Caenorhabditis elegans: one gene and its partners. The protein of the gene in region 4 interacts with the protein of the main gene of each other region in a pairwise test. Each region holds a gene or a part of one and is shown on either strand. Other genes may lie near its edges.

Region 1 (8,987 bases), on a different chromosome or scaffold from region 4:
TTTTTTAGATTAAAAATCGAGCCAAAACACCTAATTTTAGCTGAAAAACTCGAATTTTGTCTCACATTTTTTGCACATTTTTTGAACATTTTTTGTACATTTTTTGCACATTTTTTGAACATTTTTTGCACATTTTTTGAACATTTTTTGAACATTTTTTGTACATTTTTTGCACATTTTTTGAACATTTTTTGCACATTTTTTGCACATTTTTTGCGCATTTTTTGCACATTTTTTGCACATTTTTTTGCATATTTATTGCACATTTTTGCACAGTTATTGCACATTTTTGCACATTTTTTTGCATATTTTTGATAAATCCATATATCCTAACACTTTTTTTTTCTTCTTTTTCCGATTTTACAAGGTTTTTCGGAGAAAAAAAAATTTCTAATGAATATTTCAATATTTTCTAGACATTTTTTCTCTGAAAAACACTAAAAATCGAAAAAAAAACCCGATTTTCTGTATTTTTCAGGTAAAATTTTTAATACTGGAGAATCGAAAAACGGTAAAAAAGTAGATATTTCAGCTAAAATTAAGCGTTTTTTTTTTACGAAATCCGGTTTTTTAAAGCTATTTTGTGATGAAAATTTTTATCAACAAAAAAAAGAAGATTTTTTTTCCAAAAAAATAGTCAAAAATTAGAGATTTTAGCTAAAACTAGGCGTTTTTTTCTAATTTTTTTTTCACGAAATCCGTATTTTCTAGACCATTTTAAATATCAAAAAAAAACATAAAAATCAGTAATAAAAACGCCGTACCACTGGCATATTATAGACATTCTTGAGAATAAATTCGATATCCCGTGATTCAATTTTCTTCACCTCCCGATTCTTGATCATTTTGCATGCTTTATCGATTAGAGAACTGACAAAATCGTCGGCGTACTCCACAAGAACATCTTTTACATTTTCTTCGAGTACTGTTGTTGAGCTGATTTGTTGCATCAAATCATCCAGTTTTGACTGAAAAAAAAATTTTAAAAAAAAGAAGATTTTTTAAAATAAGAATTTTCGGTTTTTTCAGTGAAAATCAAAAAATCGGAAAAAAAAATTTTATAGAGTTTTTGAAAAAAAAAAACTACGAAAATTTTAGGCTATTTTTTTTTTTTTTTTTATTAATTGTTATAATTTTCGATTTTTTTGTTTGAAAATCTTGAAAATCGAAAATTTAAAATTTTTTAATTAGAAAATTAAACAAAAACTCTTAATTTTACAAGAATTTTTACAAGAAAAATTACCAAAAATTTAGGCATTTTTTTCAGTGAAAATTTAAAAATCGAATTTTTAATAGCAAATTTACAAAAAATTCCATTTTTAATTTCATTATTTTTTCAGGAGCAAAGCAAAAACTAGTGTATGCAGAAGTTCGAATTTTTTTCAAAGTTCAAAAAAAAATTTAAAAATTGTATTGAAAAATTGGAAATTTTCGTTTTTCGTTTAAAAAAAATCGAATTTTCAATAAATTCCGGCCATTTTTCAATACTTTATAGAAAAAAAAAATCACTTTTTTCAATAAAAATCAGCATATTTTTTGATAAATCTATAGCTTTTTCGTCCCCTTCCGTGAATTCTTTGTGCATTTTTTTTCCTATTTTCTCTGAAAAAAAAGACCGAAAAATCTGAAATTTGCTCATTTTCTATGAAAAGACAATCCAAAAAATTTTTTTTTTGCGAATTTTTGCTAGAGAAATTTGTAATTGAAAAAAAAACTAAAAAATCAGAAAATTTTTTAAATTTTCCTGAAAAAACCTGAATTTTTTTCGATTTTCTTTGAAAAAAAATCGGAAAATCTGAGCTTTATTCGATTTTTTCTGAAAAAATTTCAAAATTAAATAAAAATCAATTTTCCAAGTATTTTTGCCGGTTTTTTTGCCGAAATTTCCAAGTATTTTTGCCGGTTTTTTTGCCTAAATTTCCAAGTATTTTTGCCGGCTTTTTTGCCGAAATTTCCAAGTATTTTTGCCGATTTTTTTGCCGGAATTTCCAAGTATTTTTGCCGGTTTTTTTGCCGAAATTTCCAAGTATTTTTGCCGGTTTTTTTGCCTAAATTTCCAAGTATTTTTGCCGGTTTTTTTGCCGAAATTTCCAAGTATTTTTGCCGGTTTTTTTGCCGAAATTTCCAAGTATTTTTGCCGGTTTTTTTGCCTAAATTTCCAAGTATTTTTGCCGGTTTTTTTGCCGAAATTTCCAAGTATTTTTGCCGGTTTTTTTGCCTAAATTTCCAAGTATTTTTGCCGAAATTTTCAAGTATTTTTGCCGGTTTTTTTGCCGAAATTTCTAAGTATTTTTGCCGGTTTTTTGTTGCACCTTTTCCATAATACTTCCATACGGAACAGCGGCCGGTATCATTTGAGGTGGCGGTGCCTGTTGCTGTTGTGGCTGTGGAATTGGAGGCTGTTGAATTTGTTGAGATGGTGGTGGCTGCTGATGTTGCTGCTGATGTTGTACTTGCATAATTTGTTGAGGAGGCAGCGGCATTGGAGACGAGTTTGGCTGGAAATTTTGAAAAATTTTGCCCAAAACTAATGGTTTTTATAGTTTTTCCATTAAATCGGGCTCTTTTTGAGCTCCAAAAAATATTACGCCACGACAAATTTGGCGAATTTGCCGGTTTTTTACGAGCTCGATCGGTAAACGTTGCCTTTTTAGTTCCGGCAATTTGCCGATATGCCGGAAATTTTAATTCCGGCAATTTGCGGGAAAATTGAATTCCGACATTTTGCCGATTTTGTCGGAAATTTCAATTCCGGCAATTTGCCGATTTGCCGGAAATTTTAATTTCAGCAAATTGTCGATTTTGTCGGAAATTTCAATTCCGGCAATTTGCCGATTTTGTCGGAAATTTCAATTCCGGAAATTTGCCGATTTGCCGGAAATTTTAATTCCGGCAATTTACCGGTTTTGCCGGAAATTTCAATTCCGGCAATTTGCCGATTTGCCGGAAATTTCAATTCCGGCAATTTGCCGATTTTGCCGGAAACTCACCACAAATTGTGGTGGTCCACCACCTCCTTGCTGCTGCATCATATGTTGTGGCGGAGGCCCTCCGACCATTCCCATTAAATGTCCAGATGGTCCTGGCTGGAAACATTTTAAAATTAGAGGATTTTTAAGCGGATTTCCAAAAATAACTGCAGAAAAAGTCTTAAAAATGCCCAAAATATGCGAAAAAAAAATTTTTTTTTTGAAGAAATTATACAAGCCTTGAAATTTTCACCGCTGCTCCGCTGCTCCACTGCAGAAATTGTTTTGTAACATTTTTTAGAACAATTTTTCAGAGATTTTTGATCCCGTGGACCCAAATTCCCGAAAAAAGGTTTTTCTTGGGTCTCAAACGGAAGCTTTTTTTAAATTCAAATTTCCCAGATAATAACCGCCCCCGTACCCCTTGAGCCATGCCCATCTGCATTGGTCTCTGTTGCATTTGCATTGATTGCCCATTCGGTGTGAATTGTTGGGGCTGCTGCTGTTGTGGAATACCCATTTGTTGAAAGTGTTGCTGCTGCTGCTGCTGTGGTGGTGGAGGGCCCGCACGCATTTGTGGTGATGGGTATGGCATTTGGCGGACTAAAATTACGAATTATTTCATGAGAAGCCTTATTAAAGAGACGGTGTAGTCACCGAAAATATGAAGATTTTCGCTAGAATTAGGCGATTTTCGGAAATTCAGCATAATTGGAACATCGTCCAATCAGCGTACCGCTCCGCCCACTTCTGGACCAATCAGACGGAGTGGGCGGGGTTTGAAGATGCTGATTGGTAGGAAAATACTCGAAAATTGGTAAATTAAATATTTTAAAAAAGCGATTTTTAAAATGGAATTCTTTGAATTTTTTAAAAGCGATATCTACATTTACCCAAAGCCGCCTTAAATTACACCTAAATTAACGAAAAACGTGAAATAAATATGCAAATTAGGATGAAAATTGAATAAAAATCAATTTCTAGCCACCCTGGCACCGAAAAAATGGAGATTTTAGGCGATTTTCGGAATGTCTGGTAGATCATGGTGTGATCTGCAAAAAATGCGGGAATTTTTGGCCCAAAAAATGTGACGTCAGCACGTTCTTAACCATGCAAAATCAGTTGAGAACTCTGCCGCATTTTTTGTAGATCAACGTAGATCAAGCCGAAATGAGACACTCTGACACAATGTGTGGTTAGGAAATTTGAAAATTCAGCAAAATTAAAACAGCGACCAATCAGCGACCGGCTCCGCCCACTTTTGGACCAATCAGACGGAGTGGGCGGAGAGCTAATTTTAGTAAAATTTGAAAATCACGATTTTTTTTCCGTTTTTTTTGTGGTTTTTCTGAATTTGAAACTATTTTTTTTGGATATTTTTAAAGGTGGTGTAGTCGAATGTTTTTATTTGCTTTATTAGACTCAAAATTGTCTGAAAACACCGAATTTCATAGTGAAACTGTTTGAAAACTTCTCAAAAAATAAGTTATGACGGTTCAAAAAATGACCTAAAATTAGTTAAAATTTGAAATTTTACCGACTAGCCAAGCGTCTGGAAACAATTTTTCGAAATCACCGTCAAATTTTAAGTATACAATTTAATTATCTTGCGTTTTCAACTTCATTTAAGTATTTTAAAGTCGATGGACGGCGAGATTTGGTTTTAAAAAATTTAAAAATCTCGTCGTCCATCGATTTTTAAATACCTTAATCAAATTTAAAACACAAGGTAATTAACTTATATACTCAAAATTTGACGGTGATTTCAAAAAAAAATGTTTCCAGCCGCTGCGACATTGATAAGTTGGTCAAATTTCAAACTTTAACTAATTTTAGGTCATTTTTTGAGCCGTCATAACTTATTTTTTGAGAAGTTTTCAAAAAGTTTCACTATGAAATTCGGTGTTTTCAGACAATTTTGAGTCTAATAAAGCAAATAAAAACATTCGACTACACCACCTTTAAAAATATCCAAAAAATAGTTTCAAATTCAGAAAAACCACAAAAAAAAACGGAAAAAAATCGTTAAAAAAATTTAAAAATCTCGCCGTCCATTGATTTTTAAATACCTAAATCAAGTTGAAAATGCAAGAAATGCACTAATTTTAGGCCATTTTTTGAGCCATCATAACTTTTTCCTGAAAAGTTTTCAAGAAGTTTCATTATTAAATTCGATGTTTTCAGACAATTTTGAGTCTAATACAGCAATAAAAAAAAAATTCAACTACACTCTCTTTAAAAATATCCAAAAATACATTAAAATTCAGAAAAACCACAAAAAAAAAAACGGAGAAAATCGCGATTACAAACTCCGCCCACTCCGTCTGATTAGTCCAAAAGTGGGCGGAGCCGGTCGCTGATTGGTCGCTGTTCCAATTTTGCTGAATTTCCGAATTTCCTAACCACACATTGTGTCAGAGTGTCTCATTTCGGCTTGATCTACGTTGATCTACAAAAAATGCGGCAGAGTTCTCAACTGATTTTGCATGGTTAAGAACATGCTGACGTCACATTTTTTTGGGCCAAAAATTCCCGCATTTTTTGTAGATCACACCATGATCTACCAGACATTCCGAAAATCGCCTAATTCTAGCGAAAATCTCCATTTTTTCGGTGCCAGGGTGGCTAGAAATTGATTTTTATTCAATTTTCATCCTAATTTGCATATTTATTTCACGTTTTTCGTTAATTTAGGTGTAATTTAAGGCGGCTTTGTGTAAATGTAGATATCGCTTTTAAAAAATTCAAAGAATTCCATTTTAAAAATCGCTTTTTTTAAATATTTAATTTACCAATTTTCGAGTATTTTCCTACCAATCAGCATCTTCAAACTCCGCCCAATCTACCTGATTGGTCGAAAAGTGGGCGGAGCGAATCGCTGATTGCTCAGGCATTTCTCATTTTGGAGGTAATTCGAAAAATCATGTTTTTCGAGTTAACTTTTTCACTTTTTCGCGATTTTTTTCTTTTTTCTTCGGAAAAAACGTAAAATAGCCGACTAAAATAGGCGGAATAGGACAAAATTGGAGATTTCAGCTAAATTTTGAGCAATTTTTTTTTCATTTTTCACGGAATTATTTCTGAATTTGAGGCATTTTTTAGGAGTTTTTTCTTCATACTTTGCTGCTGTGGCATCTGCATTCTCATCGGGCCGCCCATTCCACCCATCGGCGGTTGGCCCACAAACTGCTGCTGCTGCTGCTGTTCGTTGGGATTCTGATGGCCTTGTGGCGGAATTCCCTGCTGCATTGGCTGAAAATGTGGGTGATAGACGTGATATCCATGATGGTAGGGCCACATTTTTTAGTATTAGTAAATATATATATATATATGGACAGAGGACGACGAGAAGCTTTTGTGATGGAAATGGTTTTGTCGGGGGAAGAAGAGAAGCACAATCGATATGAGAATAATACACATACACTTTGGACGTTTACGGGGGAAAAAAAACGGAGAGGCGCTCCGATTTTTTATTATTTTTATTCGTTTTTTTTGTTTTTTTTTTGTCGGCTGGCCGGTGAGTCATTGTTGGGACAGAAAGCAATAATTAGAGAGCGGACACACAAATCGCTTACAGAATTCGTGGAGAGAGCGGCGGCGATTTGCGGGTTCGCCTGCACGATTACGTGATTATTCGGTGAAGTTGGAGGTGAGAATTCTTCCATTTTCATTTTTTATCTGCAACTAAGTTTTTTTTTGATGATTTTAAAGCTTAAAATCTTTCGGAAAACCGAGGAAAATGGAAATATATTCATAAAAATGAATAAATTCGTTAAATTCGATAAATTTTCCACAGTACCTCGGTCGTTGTGAGACCCAATGTTAAACAAAAGCATTGCGCCTTTAAAGTTATACGGTGAAACTTTTCAAGCAATTTCTATTTTTTTCCGAATTTTTAGTTGCTAATTATTATTTTTGATTAAATATTACGAGAAAAATTTTAATTTTGAAGAATTTCTTCAAATAAAGTTTAAAAAACCGAGGAAAAGTCAAAATTAATAACTGAAACTCGGTTCGCTGTGAGACCCAAACTTAAAAATAGCAATGCGCCTTTAAACTTATACGGTTGTATTTTTAGGCAATTTAAAGTGAATTTATGTTTTTTCCAGAATTATAGTTGCTAGCTATTATTAATTTTAAAACCGAGTGAAAATTTTAACTTTGAGAATTTTCTTTTAAAAAAAACCAAGGAAAAATCAAAATTAATGACTGAAACTCGGTTCGCTGTGAGACCCAAAGTTAAACAACAGCAATGCGCCTTTAAAGTGATACGGTGGCGATTTTCAAGCAATTTAAAATCAAATTGAATTTATTGGAAAAAATCAATGAAAAAGACCTAAACTAATAAATATTCAAAGTTTTATTCTCGAATTGCACATAATATTATGCGCCGAAACCTCGTAAAATTAGGCAGATTCTGATATAAGGGAAAAACGATCCGAAAAATGTAGGACATTGGGGGAATAGAGACGTAGGGGGTGGTGGCGAGAAATTGAGGCCAATGAAGAGAACGAGAGACCTCTCTAGCTCTTTTCCGTCTCTTCTCGCAACTATCTCTCTCTCTCTCTCACTAGTGTGGTTTATTAGAACCTAAATGAGCGTGGCCGTGGGAAAACCTAGGCCACGCCGTTGCGAGGAAGTGCAAGTAAACAGAAAAAAGACGACGGCGGACGTCTTATAAAAACAAACATGTCACATTTTGTTGTCCACTCTGTCATTATTTTGCGAAAGAATTGGGATCGAATTGGGAAGTACATTTTTGGGTCTCGCCGCGATTGTTTTCTTTAATTGAATATAACTGTACCATGTGATCACTGGAAATGGAAAAACATATTTTATCTAACATTGGTTGAGGAAAAGGCAATAAAAACAATTAAAATATCGAGTTATTACAGTACACCGAGGTTTAAAGGCGCATGAGGGTTTTGAAAAGTCAAAGTAAAACTGGATATTAGCGTAAAATTTTGTTCGGTCATAATCGAGTATATTCGTAAAGTTAAAAAAAAATTTGGGTGTTTGGTTTTAAAATAATGTTTTTTTGAAAATTGAGTTTTTACTAAATTTCAGCTAAAGAAAAACTTGAATTTTAGTCGAATTTTGAACGGTGGGTAATAATTTTTTGTGTTTATATTATTATTCAGACATCAGTAAGTAAATTGGTAAAGTTTGAAAAAAATTTGGGTGTTTGGTTTCGAAGAAAATAATTTTTTGAAAATTTGAATTTTTATTCATTTTCAGCTAAACTAAAACTGAAATTTCAGACAAATTTCGAACGGTGGGTATTAATTTTTTGTGTTTATATTATTATTCAAAGATCAATTAGTATATTGGTGAAGTTTTAAAAAATTTGTGTGATTGGTTTTGAATAAAATAATTTTTTTGAAAATTGGAATACATATTAATTGGGAGCTAAACTAAAACTGGAATTTCAGTCAGATTTTGAACGGTGGGTATTAATTTTTTGTGCTTATATTATTATTCAGACATCGGTTAGTATAATCGGTTAGTAGATTGGTAGTTAAAAAAAATTTGGGTGTTTGGTTTTGAAGAAAATAATTTTTTGAAATTTGTAATATGTTCATCGGCAATGGCTGGTGGCCTAGAATTTCCCAATTAGGCCATCAAATCTGAAATTAAAAAAGCACATATTCAGCTGTAAAATAATTTATTCAACGTGTTTTTCTTCACAAATCACAGAAAATATTCAAGATTAAATGGGCTAGATGTTGACAACGACGAAAATAAGATTAAAACCAGTTTCAGTTCATTTTTCTTCTTCAAACAAAAAAAAGCGTATAAATTAAGCAGATTGAGCAACACGGGCGGCCCGTAGCCTTCCAGCTTCTCGAATTTCATTCATCAACGAGTCCCTTAGGTCGGGATTCTTGGGCTGTGGAGGAGCAGCTGCCAGAGGTGGTGGAGGAGGTGGCGGAGGAGGAGTTGAGGATGGACGATTGCCGGATGCTTCCACTGATTCGACAACTTTTCCTAGGGAGATTCCAGATTTTTCAGCAGGCA
Region 2 (5,881 bases), on a different chromosome or scaffold from region 4:
CGGATTTTTGAAAAATTTAAGTTTTTTCAATGTTAGGAATTTATCTTTTGAAAACTATACTATGAATTTTTCAATTTACTTTATTCCTCTAGAACTCTTGATATTTTCAAAACGATATTTAACTTATTTTAGTATTTATCATGACTCATTTTCCCCGCATTCTTTCAGTATTTTTTCTATATAATACCTTGATCCATACTCTCTCTCTCTCATCATCACATGTTGACCTCATAGTGTCTCGGTTCGGGCCGATTAAGTTTTCGATACGCAAACATTTAATGGTAAAAATGGACATGTGGCTCCTCCTTTTTTGACTGAAAGAGGTTTCATTTGGAAAAAGTAGTTTGACATACTTTCCAGTAGTAATTTTAAGATTAGCCAATATTTGAGAGATTTTGTTTCACCGATTATCTCAGACAGCTGCCATTTGTTTTGTTCGTGAAAAAGTTTTTCTTGGTTACTAAAATACTTTGTCTTACTTAGTTAATTTTCTTTTTTTGAATATAATGTAATTTTTCAGATAATCTTCATCCTGTTTTCGTAAACAATTCTATCTGAAATTATGAAAACAAAACGGGATCTTAAAAAGAAAGGTTTGTCTTTATCCTTTGATTGTCTCAAAATTATAAAAAAATCTGTAAAACGAGAAAGAGTTTGAATACAAGTTTGAATTATTTTTTAAAGACTTTCTGATCAGTTATATTAGTAAGAAGCAGAAAAGTAGAGCGAAATCGTGGAGAGTCCACTTGGAAACTTTAGCGCAGTATAGAAAAGTCAGTAACTATAGTCACGAACTTTTCTAATTCAAATTTAAATTGTCTATCATAGTGTATACATGAAATTATCAAAATATGCATATATTGCCATTTCTTCACTTTTTTGCTCCCAGGTTTCCTGTGCTTTAAAGATTTCCCACTTAAATTTATATTGAGAATTGTTCTTGTTCTTCGACTTTCATCTATGCAAAAAATGTTACCGATCAAAGTTTCTTCAAAATTATCACCACAAAAATATGCATTATCAGACCATTTCCCTTTTCCGCAAAAGTTCAAAAAAATTCACTTAAATAGGTTCGTATCATAATCATTGAAACAAATACAGTGATTTGTAGCCTCCTATTTATTTTTTTTATTCAATTCCTGAAATTTGCAGAAGTTTCCAACACTTTCATCACAATGTCTACAATTTCTGATAAATTATCAACGGATCAAAATTATTTTTCAATGCCAACAGCGCCTAAACCAACGAAGCTTTGTGGATATTTTGGTGTTCATAAAAGTTAGTTTGAGAAGTTTTTATTAATTAATTCGAGAGAAAGTGGGATTATTTTCTAGGTTCCCACACGCCTACCTATGCCTGCCTACTTTTTCATATCTTATGTACTTATTTTGTTCTCACAGTGTTAATTTACACAATTATCTTTATTTTATCATCTTATTTGATGAAAGTTAAATTAACAAATGAAAGAAACAACGTTTGCGTGTACAGAAGGCGCGCGAGGTGAAGGCAGGCAGGCATTATTTCTCTCTTTTTTATTTGATTTTTGACACATTAAAGCTTATCTCTTAATAATAGAAAAATTGAAAACAAAAATAACATGAGAATCATTATAAAATTGTTTACATTTTTGTTTTGTTTGTTTTACAAGTGTTATCAAACCTAAAAATACTGATCACAAAATAAATAACAAGGCTATTTTTTTCGATGGATTATTTATTTATAAAAAACAGGGTAACAAGAATGTTAAGGGAGTCGATGAAAAATTTATATTAAAAAATATGTTTTCAGTTGCAATATTTGGAATCAGTTTCAATGCAATTTTCTTATTTGCATTTTACGTTTATGGATTAATAAGATTGATTCAAAAAACACCGAAGAATTATGTTGAATTTATTGGTACAGTTAAATAAATTTAATCTGAATTATTTAGAAATATGGATTTTTCAGTAATCTGCTCCATACTTATCACCATGATCCTCACCTTCAGTTTAATGTTTATTATGGCAGTTTTCCGTGCGAGACCCAAATTTTTACTACCATATATGGTTTTGAATACGATTCTGTTTTTTGCATATGCTGGTGAGCGAAGTTTTTTTTTCGGTGTGGTTTTAATCAGTTTCGCAAATATTGAGAGATTGTGAACCGGACGACCAAATTTGACAGTTTTTAATTGGAAAAAGAGAGATTACAGGAGCGGTAATCGGATCGACAATCACAGTTCCTGATGAAATTAGAGAAGAGGTTAATGGACAAGATCGGAGTTATAAAATTGTTGATATTATTTTATTAAGGTGGGATTTTGAAAAAAAAAGGAAACCTAGGGTATACTATTTTATCAATTTCAGAGTTGCATTGCTGGTATTTGGTGCATTTGAAATATTCTTCATCTATTCGTATATTTGGACGTATATTGATGTTCGAAGGTTGTACCTTTTCAATCGAAGATGAACTTGAAGTTTCTAATTGATATTTTCAACCATTCATTTTTTTTAAAGATTCCTGATTTTTCACACGGGTTTGTCGCTATAATTTTTTGATTGTAAAAAATAAATATGTTTTTTTTTAACTTAAATTAGTGCATAAATTGTTTGATTATAATAACATATCAGTTCACTACAAGCAGTTATAGGCGTGAAAACTTTTGGCCTACAGTACTCCTAAAAGACGCACATCATTTTAAATCGCACACGTGAAAACAGTGCGACCGTAGTTTATGCCCCCGCGTAATATGAAGGAACCATTTTTCAGGCTTTTCTTGAGTATTCCTTGTTTCAAATATTACTTTTCGGCCGGAAATTCTGACATATTTATATTAAAAACTTTTTTTTAAACTTTTTTATTGTGCACCGGCGCCAAAATGTGATATTTTCTCATAAATGCCATTCGTATCTGTTTTGTTCGCACTCAAGTATTGTTTTATGTAACGTGTTTTTGTTTTTCAGTAGGATCATTTGATTTTCTTTTTCAGAACTTACAGCTCGCAACATCTTCCGGAAATCGAGTATCTCCGGTGTTGATTGTTAAGCATTCCCTGCACCCGATTACTTACACTATTCACATCCACTCAACTGCATCAATATGAACGTTAACGGTGAAAACAACGAGAAGATCGATGAGTGAGTTTAACAAAATTCAAATGAAAAAGTAATTTTATGTTATTAAAGGCATCATCTCGAGAGCTCCCTCGCTGGCGTTCCAACTTTGCCCGTTTCACCACTCGATCACGCTAAGGACTTGTCTCAAACTAATCCGAATGCCCAGATTGGAGATTTGGTTACTCAAACTGCTAACTTGATTGCTATCAAAAAGCAGTTGCTTGAAGATATTGCATTGTGCGTTGGCTAATTTCCTGAATATCTTCAATTTACTACATTTCAGCAACCAACATATTCAATCGATGCAAGTTCGCGCGATTCAGAGTTTTCCCCAGAACAACCAGGTTGCACCTCCATTTCAACAGTTTGATCCTAGACGCCGCGGATTAGCCCGAATGCAGAAACCAGAATCATACAAGACTGTGATCTGCCAAGCTTGGCTCGAATCTAAGACTTGTTCTTTCGCAGACAACTGCCGGTTTGCACATGGAGAGGAGGAACTTCGTCCAACATTGTAAGAATGAAGCAAACAAATTATGTTAATTCCAATTTTTAGCGTCGAGCCGCTGCAGAACAATAAGTATAAAACGAAACTCTGTGACAAATATACGACTACAGGACTCTGCCCATACGGGAAACGGTGCCTTTTCATTCATCCCGATCATGGACCAAACGCATACATTCGCGCTGATAAACTTCTTGAAGTCAGAAGAAAACATGTATTTTTGCTCACTGTAAACATTTTCAGGTTTCTCAACGCCATGCATTGGCTGACATTCGTGATCAAATGGAGCAGCACATCATGACTAATGGTCGCATTGCAGCTCCCCCGCTTTCTGCCATTCAGCATCCTTTAGAAATGTTTGCCAGGCCATCAACTCCAGATGAGCCAGCGGCTAAATTGCCACTAGGACCAACTCCTGTTAGTACTCGTGGTCCAAGATATGAGCTACCAACGAAGGAATTGCATGACGCGGAAGGTAAAAATTGGCAGCTAGTTGCAATTAATGACCTCTGTTTTAGGTGCGATGACCTATCCACCGTCTCGCTGGCCATTGGATCCATCGATGTTTGCTCTAGACGCTTGGAATATGGCACATCGGCCAGCTAGTCCACTCGATTCGATGGTTTTGGGTTCCGCTCCAAATGCTGGCTCGTTCGGAATGCTCGGAAAGCAAAATACTCCTGGAGGAGTTTCTGGATATTCATCTGCTGGATCCACGCCTTCTCAGGATCTCAGTTCTTCGTCACTCAATGCAGCATCCGCAGCTGCCGCTGCTGCATATTTCGCAAATTCTGCTGTTGCTCAATCTCTTCTGATGAAATCTGTCGCAACTGATCCAATGATGTCATGTAACGGACCATTCTCTCCAATGCCAGGATTCGATCAATTGGCCGAAAATATGACCAAGCATCTCAATTTGTGGTGAACAACTTCTCTACATTTGTCAAATTTTTAAACACTTTCAATATTCGTGTCCCCCATACTAACTAATAATGCGTGCATTTGTGAATATAATAAGTTTTAGTCGACGTGTTCTTGTCCCATAGAAACTTGGCCCAATCGTCAAAAGCGCCCATTCCCATTTTAAATTCTCGAAATTAATATCGAATCTTGTGATGTATATTGTAATTCATCGAATCATTGAATGTATTCCAATTTTCACCGCTCGAGTTCCCGATTGCCTTCTGTCTCACTAATCCCTTCCCCAATCTCAAAATAAATTGCACCTGCCACGGATCATAATTGTGATTCTTTTTTTCTATCTTTCTTTCTTCTCAATGGCTCCGATACTGCCCGTACGTATTTTTCTTTCGTTTCTTTGTTCATTTAAAATTTTTATCCGAAATTTCCTTCTTGATCCTCATTGCAGGATGTAGTAAATTTTTTTGATCGATTCAATTTTCAAATTTATTGAAAATCAGGTTATATGTTCCAACACGAAAACTATCTAAGTACGTACCATGAAAAAGCAAAATAATATTGCAATTCAAGTTAGCTTTGTTCTCAATATGAGAACATTACGGTTTTAAAGACTTTATATGCATGCATGTTAATTAGTTTTTTCCCAACCGTTTAACCGATAATAATACATTTATTTTTTTAAATTTTAAGCTTCGCGTTCTTGACTAGGTCATAAATTGTCGATATTTATAAAACTGTTAATTGTGGGTAAGCTTGATCAATCACTTGATTAAATCAAAAGTGTCTAGGCTCTATTCAAAATATGCGCCAGTCAACACTATTTGCGCATTTTCAGTGCGTTTGCGCTTATTCTGTTGAACACTTGCTTTACAAACTCGCCCTGCCTTTTGTTGTTCTACTAAACAAGCTCTCTTTGCCGTTAATCTTCAATTTTTTCAGTTAAAATATGAGCGAAGAGCCGGCTGCAAAGCGAATGAAAAATGCCGATGAGTTCCCAAATCTCCGATCCGAAGTAGCTGGTCCCGTGAAGGAAAAGCTAATCGAACTAGACGCCATTCAGCACCAACTAGATGTGATGAGTGAAAACGCTGCCGAAGAAGTTTTGAAAGTCGAGCAGATTTTCAATCAGAAACGTCTTCCGATTTATGAAAAAAGAAAGAAGCTGACAACAAAAATCGACAATTTCTGGCAGACTGCTTTTCTCAATCATCATCTTCTTTCAACTGCTATTCCGGAAGAACAAGAGGACTTGTTAGCCGCTCTGCGAGATCTTGAAGTGCAAGAATTTGAAGATCTTCGCAGTGGATTCAAAATAATTATGACATTTGACCCGAATGAGTACTTCACAAACGAAGTAATT
Region 3 (5,439 bases), on a different chromosome or scaffold from region 4:
CGTTCCTTTTTCCACGGAAACTGCTGAATCAGTAATTACGAAAAGTTTCCTTCCCGGTGTTACTGGAGACCAAACATGTTTTCCGTGGAACTTTGAATATCTATCATCTTCTGGATGAACTGCTACGGCCACATCCGCGAACAAAGTTTCTGGGCGAGTTGTTCCAACTTCAATGAATTCAGATTCAGAATCTACCAGATTGTATCTAATTACATGCATTTGACCGAACTTCACTCTTCTCCGTGTTCCACTTGACGACGATAAATTGATGTAACCATCAGATGGAACATCAATTCGATTTACTTCTTGACTCGATAATGTAGATGATAGTGTTGGACACCAATGAACTAATCGTTTGCCACGTGTAATCAAATCTTCTTGCTCAAGAATGCAAAAAGCTTTTGTGACGGCTTCGGAAAATTTTGAATCGAGAGTATAATATGATTGAGTCCAGTCGAGAGAAGCTCCCATTCGAGTCAATTGCTGTCGAATTTCAGATGAGCATTTTTCACCCCACAAATGGCATTCTTTCACAAACTCTTCGCGTGTCATCTCAAGTCGTCGCTTTCCATTTTTTGCCAATATTTTTTCCACGACTACTTGTGTGGCGATTCCTGCGTGATCAAATCCAGGAATCCATTCGGCCTGAAAACATAAAAATAAGCATCTTAATTTTTCGTGAAATTTTACTTTATTTCCCTGATTTCTCTGGTGTCGACAAATAGCATCTTCCACTGCAACTGTTAGAGCATGTCCCAAATGCAGTTTACCAGTTACGTTTGGCGGGGGTAAAACCATACGAAATAGACTGCCTGAAAAATATTTTTTTGCCTAGAACTATTATCAAGGAAATCTGACCATTCTTTCGATAATTTGCAGCGGCAAACTCTGTTCTTTGTTCAAAATTTTGTGTTACCTCGTCGATGTTAAAGGAGCTGAAAAAATTAGTTATTTTATTTTCTTAGTTTATCGTTTACCTACTACTTTCACGTGTAATAATTGTCGGTGAGTAAGCACATTGCCTTCTTGAACGATGAAAAAGTGCTAATCGATTCAATTTACCCATTTATTTCACCTGAAACCACAAACAATAATTTAAAAGAAAGAATGCGCTCAATCTGTTGAAAAATTAACGCTCGTCTGGACGAAGCAAATGCGCCCTGTCGCGAAACTAATTGGAGGGAAGATTAAAAAATATTTTTTTGTCAAACGAAACATTTCAGAAATTATTTTGCAATTCTATAATTGAAAATCAGATATCTTCGTGAAAAAACGTTATTTCCAGATGGTCTTCAAAAACATTGATTGACATTCGATAAAGTTTATTGATTGTTAGTGTGGGGAGAGGATACGAGCAATTTATATTTGGAGGGAATTGAAAATACATGCAATGATATCCGATATAATAAAATGCAGCAAAATAATTCAAGTTTAGTTTCAGAGCCTGCGAGAGATGGGGGGAGCGAGCGTGCTTTCTATATGACAGGAACATTGAGCTTATTATATTTACAAATTGCGCGCGTTATTATAGTTAGTATGGGACATAAAAACGTATGGCAATTTGACAAAATGTATAAATAGATGGGGAAGGAGGTGGTTATTCACCACAATTCAAGGTGCTTGGCAATGTCCATGGCAAGTTGATCAAGTCCAGGAATTGGAAGAGTTGTCTCGTTTCCAATCATCGGATTGTTGATAGACTTCAGAAGAATAGACTGAGCAGACTCCGAGTTGGCTTGGCAGGCAGCATCTGCAGCAGCAGAAGCAGCTGTGAGTGGAGACGAATCACTATCTTGAGACGGAGTTGATCCAGAGGAAGAATATCCCGAAACTCCTCCCGGTGTTGATTGTTTTCCAAGCATAGAGTATTGCATGTTCCCGGCTGCTCCAATAAGCATAGACTCAAACGGACTGATTGGACGAGTTGCCATATTCAGACTATCCAATGCGAAGAAAGTTGATGGATCCAACGGCCAGCTTGATGGTGGGCGATTCCCGGCTTCTGTAAAATTATTTTGAATTAATCATCAATATTCAATTTTCATACCCTCAGTCTCAAGTGGCTTCTTCGATGGCAACTCGTATCGTGGTCCACGAATGCTAACTGGGGTTGGACCCAATGGCATATTTGCTGCTGGCTCATCTGGTGTGCATGGCCTTGCAAACATATCAAATTGTTGAGGGCCGGCTGTAGAACGACCTCCATTCATGATATGATGCTCCATTTGATCGCGAAGGTCGGCCAAAGCATGACGTTGCGAAACCTGTTGAAGATTTGATTAAAGTGGAAAATTAAAAAGTTATCTTACCTCGAACAATTTATCGGCTCGAATGTATGCATTTGGTCCATTGTCCGGATGAATGAAAAGACAGCGTTTTCCATATGGGCACAACCCAGTAGTAGTGTACTTATCGCAGAGCTTCGTCCGGTACTTATTGTTTTGACGTGCCTCGATCCTGTAAAATATGTTGTGTAATCTTAATTCAATGTTCAAACCAACAGAGATGGACGAAGCTCCTCTTCGCCGTGAGCAAAACGACAGTTCTCCGCGAAAGCACATGTCTTCGACTCCAACCAAGCCTGACATATGACAGTCTTGTACGATTCCGGTTTTTGCATTCGGTGACGGCGTCTTGGATCAGCATGATATTGCAGTGGGAGAATAGCTTCCTGTGGAAGATTTTGAAGAGCTCTCATTTGCATCGAATGAATATGCTCGTTTCTGAGAAGATAAAATTTAAGAAACAGTCCATTTATCCTATAGAATTACTCAGCAATCTCCTTGAGAAGCTGCTCCTTGACAGCCATCAGGTTAGCGGTCTCGGAAAGCAAATCGTCGATATGAGAAATCGGTTTTTGCTGTTCTTCCGGAACAGTCTCCATCATATCGGGATGCGATGGTTCAACACTCGACTCTGTACGAGCCCTTAAAAAAGAAAATTAAAATTGAGAAACTATGATAAAAGTGGCTCACTCATTATTCTGGATAACATTTTCCTTGAGCATATCCATTATTTCGTTAGTAGTGCAGGGGAAATGGGTGGTTAGTGATTAGGCGTGGGGTGCTCGGTTAATTGATTCCCTGAAATTTAAAGAAATTTTAAAAATGGTAAGATTCCGCGAGCAATGAATAACAACCGTCTAAAGAATGAAAGAAATAAGTTTTTAACGAGAAAAAACGAATGCGCCAAAACGGTATAAAATTATTGTTTTAAGCGACGTAATTCAGAAATAAGCTCTTTTAAAATTCAAATAAACGGGCCAAAATCCTTCTGAATGAAATAAATGAATGAACAGAACCAAATGTTGTTGAACAAAAGAAAACTGAAGAAAACCATCTCTGTCCCAAAATTTCGAAACAAAAAGTCAATGTTTGGCGGCAATGCGCGCTAAATAAGATCAAATAATTATTTTTTAATACTTAAGTTTAGAATTAAGTCTGAAATTTATGGTTGAATCAAAGTCAAAAAACTTGCAAGAAAATGTTGCCAATTTTCACCAATGACTACGGTCACACTCGTTTGAGATGTGCACTCCCCGCTGCTGCGCCTTTAAAGGTTACTGTAACTAATAATTTTTTTTTAGCAAGCATGGAAATTGTGTAATTGTCTGAAAAAGTAACTCATAAACAGCGAATAACTAGATTTTCTCGACTAAAAAATTTTCAACAACACTGTCTGACCAAAATCTAGCTGTAAAAGAACATTACTTTGCAAATATACTTGCTGGAAGGTATTCGAATTTTTATTCAATATTTACATGTATATTTGATTTATTGTAAGTTCATTGTATTCCTATTAAAATCACTTGTGCATTCCATAATTTGACGCCTGGGAATAAACATTTTGGTCGAAAACTAGCGGTGTTCCATTGGACTCAACAACATCCATCAACTTTGACTTTTTTGCTTTTTCCAAGAAGAAACTGTTTGTTGTGTCGATGAACTTGCATGGACGCATTCCATTTCTAAAATATTATCATTTTTCCACAGTCCTTTGTCAAAAAATCACTCACTCAATAGCCATTTTAGCAGCTCCAATCTCCAACTTCTCTCCAAGATTTTTACCACGATGCCCCTAAAAACAGATTTGAAAATATTCAATTTGAAAATAGTAAAACTCACATCAAAGACATGCAAATGAGCAAGTGCTCCGTGAGTTTCTGAAGAAATGAATCCAACAAGTTCGTCGCCTTTACGAACGCAGAGCGATGGGAACCGTCGAAGTTTTTCTCTGAAAAAAATTCCTATTTTTCCATGTAACTGTTGTTTTACGATTTCTCGATTTTGTGAGAAAATGATATAAATCTAGTACTGTTGGTTTTTAATTTCCTGATCCAAAAACTCACTCTACTAATTTTGCATTTGGTGTGATAGATGATCCTACAATCTTCATAACATCATTTGTTGATTCAGGTATATCAATTGAGTATCCATCAGGTAATGTTGTATCACCATAATTTCTATATTTGAAAATTTGACTTTCATTCATTGCAAAAAAGTGTGTTGATTTGTTTTGCACCTCTGCATTAATATTGTTTTTCTTCATGTACTTTTCAATCTAAAATCAAACGTTTCTTATCTATTAACCTTTGTTCTGTTTTCATTGTGTATTACCGCTTTAGTGTAACATTTCTCGGCTACAGTTGATGGAGCATTGGAGCCAGCAAACAATCCATTTGTTTTACAGAATTCATCAAAAACCGCCAGAAAGTCTTCTTCTCGAAACTTTCCATCGTGTGTCAGAATTTGACGGTCTCTGAAAAGGTGCGAAGGTCAATTTCGAATTGAAAAAAAGAGATAGCAAAAGGTGGGAAAAGGTCTTTAGTGATACTGAAAAATGTTTTTGAAAATGAAGAAAAACTGGTTTAGGAATGGATTGTCATGGAAATGTTTGATCTTATCAAATATTACGGTCGAATCGGAAAAACATGAGTGAAGATACGGAAAAATGTAGTCAGCCATGGACATTTAAAACGGAATTCACTTTTTTTTCAAAGTGAACAAAGTTTAGGGTCGCGTGTACCTACTTATAAAGTAATTGTCCCATGTATTGAAAGTTCATGTTTTTGTAGTTTGAAACGGGAGGAAATGGCAAAGTTGTTGGCAAGTCAAATACATTCTCTACATTGAAAATTTCAAGTTGCTTTCTAACCTTACTTATCTAGGTTTATGCGGGCATATATACAAACTTCGTACAGTAACTCGTTCGTTTTCGAAAATTTTTGGGTTTTGGTAAAAAGAATTTAAATTTTGTAGAAATTTTATATATCTACAGTATTCTTCTCCCTATTTTCCTCGAATTTTCAGTTTAAGTTGGTTAGCGGTACGTTAGAAACCAAGTAAACCAATACACATTCCGCAAAAAAAAAGTAACTCGTCTGAATATTTTAATTTGAAAAATAGTTTTTATCTAGGCAGGCGGTAAGCCTGTTTTATA
Region 4 (9,304 bases):
CATGCGAAATCAGTTGAGAACTCTGAGTCTCTTCTCCCGCATTTTTTGTAGATCTACGTAGATCAAGCCGAAATAAGACACTTTGACACACAAAAATAGCTTACTATTTTGTCCATTTTTCTTCTTTTCGGTATGAAAAACAAAATTTGTTGGAATTTTTAAACTGTTTGTTAATATTCTAAAAATTATAAAAAAACAATTTTTCGACAGTCTTTTTGAAAAATATCTAAAAATTTTTTAATATTTTAACGGATTTATTGTTTAAATTTTGAGTCAAAAATTACGGTATCCCCGGGGTCTCGCCACGAAAGTTAAATGCGTAAAAGGTGTGCGCCTTTGAAGAGAGTACTGTACTTTCAAACTTTCGTTGCCACGGTTTTTATTAAAATATGTTTTTTATCGTATTATTCGAGTTTATTCGAAAAAAAACTTTTTGTTTGAAATTACAGTACTCAAAAAAATTTTAAAAATTTGTCGTGTCGAGACCCCGGGTATTGTATTTTTGGCGCCAAAACTTCAAAAAAACAAAATTCGGTGTTTGCGTACTTTCGAGGATACCGTACCCCTCGAAATTTCAAATTCGAGCAAGAAACTTCTAGTTTTCGGTTTTCCGACTGAAATTTTGCGAGGAATTCGAACTTTGAATTGAAACTATGAAATTTTGCTTTCATAAAAGAGTTTTCAGCTCGAAATTAGAAATTTTTCCAGCGCGCCATCCACCTTCGCCAACGTAGAAATCTGGAAATCGCCGGTGCCGACGGTGTCTATCAGCGAATAATCGATGAGCTTCCACTTCCACCGACGCTCAAAGACTATGTTCGATTGGTGCAACACGAGGTTGTGCTCAAGTAGAGAAAAAAATACCGAAATTTCAGTGTTTTTGAGAAATTTTGAAAAAAAAATTGCCTAATTTTCTGAATTGTAACTCATTTTTCTCGATTTTTCCTGTATTTTTAATATCTAATTCTGGTTTTTTTGCACTTTGCCAATTTTTTGTTGTTGAATTTTTTCTGAAAAATCTGAAATTTTTGGCTGAAAAGCTGAAAAAGAAGCTTTTTTTTATGTCTAGCATTTCGTTTAAAAATGAGAAATAATTATTATTTGACTGGAAAAAAGTGATTGTTTTAATTTGTGGAAAAATAAAATTAAATTTAAAAAAAGAAAACGAGAAAAGCAGAATTTTCGCTCCTTTTTCCATGAGATTTCTTTAGTTCAGATAGTTGTATCGACTGCCGGACCACCGTATGACATCTTTTCACGGATGAATGTTCTGGAAAAAAAATGAGTTTTTTTAGGAGAAAATTGGATAACTTTTCAAAATTTTTTTAAATCGTATAAAAATTGATTTTTATTGGAATTTTTTAAAATTAAAATATTAAAAACTACCATTCGTTTGAAAGTTTTTTGAAAAATTTTTAAATCAGTTTTTTCCAATAAAAATCAATGTTTAATACGGTGTTTTTTAAAAAAATTTTTTAAACAAAAAAAATCGCTACCCTGTGAATCGGCTATCCTGATTGACTAAAAGATGTAGATCACGAGTTGTTACACGTACTGTTCGTGGACGAGGTGCTGTCGTTGCGGCGCCCGTGTTTTCCCATCTGAAATTTAAATTTTCAATGTAAAAAAGCGGTATTTTGGTAGAAACTAGCTCGTTTTATCAACAAAAACAAATTGTAAAAAATGAATTTTTTGAAATTGGTTTTCGAAATTTATTTTAAATTGAACCGAAATTAGTTTATCAACTGGAAATTGCAAAAAAATGCACATTTAATAATTTTCCAACAATTTTCAGTAAAAATTTCAAAAAATTTCTTCAAAAAGTGAATTTAGTGGAAGCAATTTAAAAAAAAAGAAAATTATTGGAAAATGTTGTTTTTTTCAACAAAAAAGTGTATTTGTCTAATTTTTTAGAAATTATTTTTTCCCTAATTTTGGAAAAAAATGAATTAATTTTTAATCAAGTTTTAAAAAAACCTTTTTTTTCGAAAAGAGAATTTCTAAATTAAAAAAAAACTAATTTTCAACAAATGACAGTTTCATTACTGGAAGGAGCTGCAAATTTTTTATTTTCATATAAATTTTTATTTCTATATAAATTTTTTCGAAATGTGAAATAAATTTCAAATTTCTCCAAAGAAATTTAGTTTATTCCTGGAAATTATTGGAAAATGTGGTTTTTTTTTCAAAGTCACTAGAAATTTAAATTTTTTTTTAAAATACGTTTTTTTGCCGAAAAGATGTTCATTTGTTTTTCGTTCATTTTTTTCTGTGATTATAAGTCACTGAAATTCAAAAATTATAGTTCTAAAAAATTCTAAAAATTATTTAAAAATCGATTTTTTTTTTCAAAAATTTTTCTCAAAACGTAAAAAATTAATTTTTTGTAAGTGTTCAGCTTTTCTCTAACAATAAATCCAAATTTCGAAAATTTCTTTTTTTTTCTATTTCTTTCGAATTTTTAGTATTTTTAAAGCAAATTTTGTTCAAATTGATTGTATCTTGATTTTAGGCTTAAAATACCGAATAGTTCAACGAAATTTCTGGAAAAATTAATTTTTTGTTGCTTTTTTTCCAGATTTTAAAATTTTTTTCAATTTTTTCAGTGATTTTAGTAATTTTTTTAAACTTCTACAAAAAAATATATATAAAAACCAATTAATGTCGAAAATATTCTTATTTTTTAAACATTTTTCCTTTCAGCTTCTATTTTCACTTTTTCGTAATTTTTTTTGCGAATTTCGCACTAAAAACGAATTTATTCTTGAAAGTTTTATTACTGGAAAGTACTGTTTTTTTTTTTAAATTAAGAACCACAAGAAATTGATTTTATCTAAATTTTAGGGTTAAAATCTTGATCGTTTTAACGAAATTTCTGGAAAAAAACTTTTTTTTCGCTATTTTTCTGAATTTTCTATTTTTTTCATTTTTTTTCAGTGATTTTAAATAGTAATTTTTTAATTGAAAATTTTTATTCTAAAAATTTTTTTTTGTGAAATACAAATTCGAAAAAAACGAAATTTTTTTCCATTTTTTAGAAATTAGTTATTGATTTATTTTATTTTTTCATCGATTTTGCAGCATTGTAAAACAATTTTTTCTGAATAATTTTTTTTTGCTTATTTCTAAATCCAAATCTCAGAAACAAAGGTGTCGGTTTTTCAGTTTTTTAATCGAAAAACGAAACTTTCATTTTTCGAATTTTTGAAAACCGAAAAATCGAAAAATGACACCCTTGGTCAGGAAATTGTTTTTTTTAAATCTATTTTTTAAAAATAATTTTTCTGCAAATTTCACGCTAAAAACGAACTTATTCTTGACAGTTTTATTACTGGAAAGTGCTGCAATTGCAGCCGCATTCGCATCTCGATTCCTTTTCGCTTCAGCATCTTGTCGTTGCATTTCTTTCGCTTTTTCAATCGTCTCTTTTCCACTATTCTTATTCTTGCTCATTCGAATTAGCGACTCTTTTTCTCGACTTTCCCTTAATTCTTCCTCTTGACGATCCAAATCTTCAAGGAATCGAAGTTGCCGTTTGACGTCATCAATTGCCACGTAGTTCTCCGGAATTCTGGAATCTTTTGTAGTGTTTAGGATGGAAAATTCGGATTTTTCACAAAAAATTGTTAGGAAAAAAGCCATTTTTTTATGCTTGCTTCGTGTCGATTTACGGCAGCTCTCCATTTTTTAAAAAAATTTATTCGTGCTTTTTTAAGTTTTTTTTTTTTTTTTTTGCGCGTTTCTTTTATTTTGTCGCTTTTTTGTCAGTTTTTTTTCTGAAATTTTTAAAATATTTTTTTTATATCTCAAAACTCCCGGAATTTTATATTTTTACGTCAGATCTCGACGAACACAGGAGTTTTGACCTAAAAAATTTTCAAATTGACACAAAACAAAATTTCAGGAAAAAAAATGACAAAAAATCGACGAAGATCAAGGAAACTCGTTGAAAAACTGAAAAAAAAAGCTTAAAAGAAATTTAAAAATGAAGAGCTCCCGTAAATCGACACGAAGCAAGTGCGCCCCAATGAGAATTTATCTGGGCGCGCATTTGAAAAATCTCATGGTGTGCATGCACAAAGCGATTTCAAGCTGAAATATAAAGGGAAATTTTTTTTTTGAATTTTTTCGAATAGATATTCGGAATCAGGGGAAAATTGGAGATATTTTTGAAAATATTTCTCAGATTTTTATATTTTTTTGAAAAAAAATTACCGCGTTTCAGCAATGTTTTTTGTTTGGATTTTAAAACAAAATCTAGATGTTTTTTTAATAAATAGTTCGGAACCTTTGAAATTTAAAAATCTTTTTTTTTAATGTAAAATTGTTTTTAAGACGATTTTTCTTCAATAATTTCCTTATTTTTGCTTAATTTTTTTTTCGCTGCCGTATTTTGAAGCAAAATCAATTCTCCTCAATACCTCAAACTCTCCACCCGATGTTCTGCAACTCCGGCCATCAGTGTAATAAGTTCCCTTAAATGCGACTCAACAGCATCTGAAATCGCGACAAGCGCCTCCTCTTCCACCGAACACGATGACATCATTCGTTTCGTGATCCTATTCAGCACCTCATCCGGCTTCAGAATCGACGATTTCAGCGATCCTTCAGGATATTGCCTCGTGGCCGTGGCCGCCGCGGTAGGCTGTAAATTCTCTTCCACCTCCATTTCTACAGGGGGAGCCGGGTGCTGCTGTTGAATCTGCTGTGGTGGGGGAGGAGGATGCATCTGGACCATCTGATGTCCCATCGGCCCTCGTACGGGGCCTTGTAGGCCCATTGGGCTTGGGCCGCCGGGGCCCATAGGCCTGATCATTGGCCGGGCGCCTACAGATACCATATGGGGACCCCCTTGAACCATTTGTGGGGGTATTTGATTCGGATTCGGAATTTGACGCATTTCTAGTGGTGGCTGCTGCTGGGATTGTTGTTGAGGTGGAGGTGGCTGAGGGGGTCCTGGGGTTCTTCCATTGTTGAAAACGTAGCCAGGCGGTGGATTTACGCCTTCAACTGATGCAGTGCCTGGAAATTTGAAAATTAGGGAAAATAGTCCAAAATTGAGGAAAAAAAAAGATTTTTAATCTAGAAAATAGGTAAAAATCCTCATAAATTGCCTGGAAATGCGCCTCAAAATCGAATTTTTGAGCTGAATGTTGAGAAAATCTATAAACATTTTAAAAACTTTAAATTGCAATTTTTCAGCTGAAAATAGCCCTGAATTATGAAAATTGCGTGAAAATTGCGAGAAAATTTGCGGAAATAGCTCTAAATAAAGGGAAGTTTTTAAATAATTGTTTTGCTCAATTTCGTGGAACTCGGATAAATTACCAAAATATACTCCGGAAAAATTGAAAAAGTGCGATAAACTTGATAATTTTTGCTTTCAAAAATAGAATTTTAAAGAAATTTACTGGAAATAGACAAAAAATGTGGAAATTTTAAATTTTAAGCTAAAAAAATTGGTGAAAATCTTAATAAATTGCCTGGAAATGCGCTTGAAAATCGAATTTTTGAGCTGAAATTTGAGAAAATCTATAAAAATTTTAAAAACTTTAAATTACAATTTTTCAGCTGAAAATAGCCCTAAATTATGAAAATGGGTGAAAATCCTTATAAATTGGCTGAAAATCAGGAATTTGCTCAAAATTGTGAGAAAAATTGCGGAAAATCCATATATTACTGACAGCTGAAAATATTTTTAAATAAAGGGAAATTTTTAATTTTTTTTGCTCAATTTTGTGGAACTCGGATATATTATGACAATATACTCCGGAAAATGGAATTTCAAAGCCGAAAAATTGAAAAAATCACCAAAAACAGCTTGAAATTGTTAGAAACTTGATAATTTTCGCTATCAAAAATGGAATTTTAAAGAAATTGACTAGAAATAGCCAAAAAATTTGGAAATTTTGAATTTTTTTCATGGAATTTCTACACAATTTCTTGAAAAATGTAATTCAACGGATTTTTTGCAATTTTTTATGTTAAATTCAAGTTTTTCGCTGCTTTTCAACTCAAATTTTCCTGTTTTTCGATGATTTTTTTTTTGTCGATTTTAATTTTTTTGCACATAAAACCGAACCATTTCGAACAGCATTCCTCAATGCCGGAAGAGTATTCTGAAGGAATGGTAAAAGATGCGGTTGAGCCTGAGATTTGAGCACTTGTTGCAGATTTCGTGTAAACTCTTCAGCCGTCGTTTCCAGATAAATTACGCCCTGAAATATCCGAATTTGTCCGGTTTTTATCGCGTTTTTCGCTCAATTCCTCACTCGAATTAGCTCTTTGACACGGGCGGCCTTGTCCGGCATTTCTGGATCATCGTTATTCGACAGATTAATTAAAGTTTTCAGAAAGCGGACGCATTTTGTCACGTTTTTGTCATCTGAAGCAGCGGCGGCCGCCGCTGCAGAGTTTTGTGGAGTCCCGGGCGGCCCTTGTGGAGCCATTGGCGATGGTGACTGAAAATGCTGCATCTGCTGTTGTATAGGTTGACGAGGCGGCTGCATTTGATGGTTTTGAGCCTCTGAAAATTGGGATTCAAATTTTTTTTCTAACTTTTTTAAATTTTTAAATATTTACGGGGTGCTTCCACGGGTTCCGGAGCCATTTGATGAGCATCTTGGTAGTCGACTTCCTGCTTTATTTGCGGAGGGGCCTGGAATCAAAGGAATAAATTATTGTTAGTTCTTTTTGTTGTTGTAGAAATTTTGAAATAAAAAAAAACAATTACCGGCTCTGGTGTGCTGACTCCTGGCGTTGATCGCTCGCCGATCGCCTTTCCCTGAACGAGTCGAAATCTGGGAAGACTCATGTGTGCTGAAAATGATATTTCTCTCTCAGAAATGTGACAAGGTTTTGAGTTTTCGTGTCGATAATTTCGACGCCATAAAAGAAGAGTTCATACAAAATCGATAATTCCCAGGGTTCAACAGTGTGTTTCCTTGCTATTCCTCCCCACTTTCTTTTGTTTTATTCACATTTTCACATTAAATAGCTAAATTTCCGCAAAATTAGCGGAAAACCCCCTCCGCAACACAGTTTCATTTGAAAATTTACCGGAAAATAGCGGAAAATGGTCGCCTTTTATACTGCCAAGAGTGACCGTACTTTCGGTCGTGGCGAGACCCATGCCGCATGTTTGGAGGGGTGCGTTGCGGCTCGCGTCGCGGTCGCCCGCATTTTCAACTGCGGGAATTTGCGAGATTTGAACGCGATTCTAGTCTAGCTTGCGGTGATTTTTCAATTTTTTAATGATTTTTCAGCGTAAGAACTTTTGAGTTTAGTGGAAATATTGATTTTTGTGATATCACACTCTGAAATACCCAAATTTTCAGTCAATGTATTGTTACATTTCGAAATTTTTATTCAATCTAGTAACAAGCCTACACTTTATCATCGCTAAATAGGATTCTCCATTGTATAGCAGTTCATTCGAATTCCATTTCAAAATTATTGTAAAATGTAGGGGTTTTCTTCTCTAGAATATCCTCCAAAGTTCAACGTGATGTATTGCTGAAATATTTCTTCATCCTAACATGTTCGTTAGAGTCTTCTGTGCGAGGCTTTTCTTTTGATAATGTTTTTTTGATCTGGAAGGTTCCATATTTCGTTCTTTTCCTACTTTTGTCATCTATTTGACCTTCCTTTCATTCAACCTTCCTTTGATAGTTGTATTCTCGTGATTCTCATTCCATTCTTGCGTTCACATGACTGACCCTTTTTATTTATAATTTGTTTTCAGAATGGGTATTAAAGGCGACAAAAAAGCTACCAGCGATCAAGCGCGACTTGCACGACTCACACTGGAAGGAAATTCCGGAAATGAGGAGGACATACAGTTTATGATCAAGACGGTAAGTCTCCAAGCTGGAAATGACGCTTTCCTGAAAATAGTGATCTTTGCATCACGCGAACGCTCGCCACACACCGACATGATGACGCACGTGACTTTGTTGTTTTGAACTTCTCTAGTGTCCGCTTTCAGTGTCAATAGGAATTTCGAATCGATAAGACGGGGCCAGATGGCAAATAAAAGGACAAAAGCAGGTGTCCGCGCTTGAGATGGTGCAGCGAGAGTAAGAGTACCCAGATGTCCTACTCATTTGGGCTAATTAAAGTGTTCGCGCATTCCCAAGAGGGGTTTTTTCACTGCTCATGTCTTTTTCATTTTCAGATTATCGAAACCACCGGATGTACACAAGCACAAGCTGAGATAGCGCTATTGGATACTGACAACAATCTTTACGGCGCAATCGATCACATTCTGGATGCTGGAGATAAACTTGACTCGTGGACTGAACAGAAAGGAGCCAAAAAGGAAAAGAAGAAGCCGGAAGAGGGCAGTTATAACAACAGAGGATTTGTAGCAAGAGGCAGAGGTTCGTGCTTGATTGAAATAGATCAAATATTGATATGTTTTTTTCAGGTGGAGGCACCGGTTTCGTCGATCGAGGAGGCCGCGGGCGATCCAATGGAGCTCCAAGAGAAAGCCGAGATAATAATCGGGATAACCGTGATAATAAGGAAGGAGCAGCACCACGCTCGACTCGAGGAGGATTTGAAAAACCGTATGTTGGACGAGGTGGAAGAGGTGGCGCCAGAGGTGGATATTCTCGAGCTGTTGCTCCATCATCAGCACTTGAGCCAGATGCGTTCACTGCTGATCTTGATGAGGTAAGAATTTTTTGAAGAAGGAAAATGACGAAACGTGTTTTTTTTTCAGAATCAGACTAAAGTGGATACCACAGTCACCGAAGTTCAACCACCAGTAGAGGAATCCGTCACCGCCACTGTTCCCACATCTTCTGCGCCGGCACCGATCTCATTTGCTGCAGTAGCAGCAGCTGCCCATCGCAAAGAAGCACTCCGAAAGCACCAGGCACAGAATCCTCAACCAGCAGCTCCGCCAAGGAGGAGTCTCTCCCCACAACCTCCACTTCCGTCAGTTGCACCAGTTAAAGAAGAGCCAGCAGCAGCGCCAGTATTTTTCGAGCCAGAAACTTCGCATCAGCCGGAGAAAGAAGATGGTTTCTTCCAAAAGTAAGTTGTTCTGTCCCTGTATTTAGATTATTAAAAATTTAATTTTCAGTGAATCATCAGTTTTGGCTGAGGAGCAGACGCCTAATGTGTCGACTCATCACGATGAAAATGTACAAAGCACCCCAGAACCAAATCAAGCATGGACCACTCAACTGAAGACGGATCTTGGAATAGGATTGAGTGAAGCACCAGGACTAGGATTATCTCCAATTCCAAGTGCAGCACCAGTCCAGATTATTCCTGATCCTGGAGTGGAATTTGT

The links.
Region 1: the proteins of taf-4 (region 4) and taf-12 interact in a two-hybrid assay, tested with the Caenorhabditis elegans proteins (one study listed by BioGRID).
Region 2: the proteins of taf-4 (region 4) and oma-1 interact in binary tests that used the Caenorhabditis elegans proteins (3 or more experiments, as listed by UniProt).
Region 3: the proteins of taf-4 (region 4) and oma-2 interact in a two-hybrid assay, tested with the Caenorhabditis elegans proteins (one study listed by BioGRID).

Annotation. Positions count from the first base shown.
Region 1 is NC_003281.10:11,862,635-11,871,621, forward strand, and holds the start of taf-12 (Transcription initiation factor TFIID subunit 12), read right to left. Parts: upstream 6,648-8,987; 5' UTR 6,641-6,647; coding exon 6,545-6,640; intron 6,222-6,544; coding exon 6,089-6,221; intron 3,573-6,088; coding exon 3,391-3,572; intron 3,087-3,390; coding exon 2,991-3,086; intron 2,499-2,990; coding exon 2,313-2,498; intron 969-2,312; coding exon 765-968; intron 1-764. Other genes in the region: Y56A3A.6 (WH2 domain-containing protein), read right to left, coding at 8,770-8,987. UniProt on the Caenorhabditis elegans protein: Part of the general transcription factor complex TFIID. Plays a role in recruiting taf-4 to the nucleus and thereby activating transcription initiation by RNA polymerase II, as part of the TFIID complex.
Region 2 is NC_003282.8:8,886,008-8,891,888, forward strand, and holds oma-1 (CCCH-type zinc finger protein oma-1), read left to right. Parts: upstream 1-2,968; 5' UTR 2,969-3,078; coding exon 3,079-3,116; intron 3,117-3,164; coding exon 3,165-3,332; intron 3,333-3,378; coding exon 3,379-3,609; intron 3,610-3,651; coding exon 3,652-3,799; intron 3,800-3,843; coding exon 3,844-4,075; intron 4,076-4,118; coding exon 4,119-4,525; 3' UTR 4,526-4,992; downstream 4,993-5,881. Other genes in the region: C09G9.5 (MARVEL domain-containing protein), read left to right, coding at 563-593, 1,153-1,278, 1,789-1,896, 1,948-2,079, 2,192-2,291, 2,346-2,448; spr-2 (Suppressor of presenilin-2), read left to right, coding at 5,468-5,881. UniProt on the Caenorhabditis elegans protein: Zinc-finger RNA-binding protein that binds to 5'-UA[AU]-3' motifs in the 3'-UTR of maternal mRNAs to suppress translation in oocytes and embryos.
Region 3 is NC_003283.11:8,027,083-8,032,521, reverse strand, and holds oma-2 (CCCH-type zinc finger protein oma-2), read right to left. Parts: upstream 3,084-5,439; 5' UTR 3,014-3,083; coding exon 2,976-3,013; intron 2,928-2,975; coding exon 2,772-2,927; intron 2,724-2,771; coding exon 2,502-2,723; intron 2,458-2,501; coding exon 2,310-2,457; intron 2,265-2,309; coding exon 2,048-2,264; intron 2,003-2,047; coding exon 1,602-2,002; 3' UTR 1,308-1,601; downstream 1-1,307. Other genes in the region: vars-1 (valine--tRNA ligase), read right to left, coding at 1-645, 691-812, 859-935, 978-1,066; F43H9.4 (Glycine N-acyltransferase-like protein), read right to left, coding at 3,805-3,967, 4,016-4,077, 4,125-4,233, 4,349-4,560, 4,617-4,758. UniProt on the Caenorhabditis elegans protein: Zinc-finger RNA-binding protein that binds to 5'-UA[AU]-3' motifs in the 3'-UTR of maternal mRNAs to suppress translation in oocytes and embryos.
Region 4 is NC_003279.8:380,343-389,646, reverse strand, and holds taf-4 (Transcription initiation factor TFIID subunit 4), read right to left. Parts: upstream 6,822-9,304; 5' UTR 6,815-6,821; coding exon 6,734-6,814; intron 6,659-6,733; coding exon 6,583-6,658; intron 6,527-6,582; coding exon 6,273-6,526; intron 6,219-6,272; coding exon 6,083-6,218; intron 5,023-6,082; coding exon 4,422-5,022; intron 3,572-4,421; coding exon 3,311-3,571; intron 1,602-3,310; coding exon 1,497-1,601; intron 1,271-1,496; coding exon 1,213-1,270; 3' UTR 1,083-1,212; downstream 1-1,082. Other genes in the region: R119.5 (Protein-L-isoaspartate O-methyltransferase domain-containing protein 1), read left to right, coding at 709-852; Prion-like (glutamine/asparagine-rich) domain bearing protein pqn-59, read left to right, coding at 7,746-7,856, 8,177-8,381, 8,429-8,676, 8,726-9,042, 9,092-9,304. UniProt on the Caenorhabditis elegans protein: The TFIID basal transcription factor complex plays a major role in the initiation of RNA polymerase II (Pol II)-dependent transcription.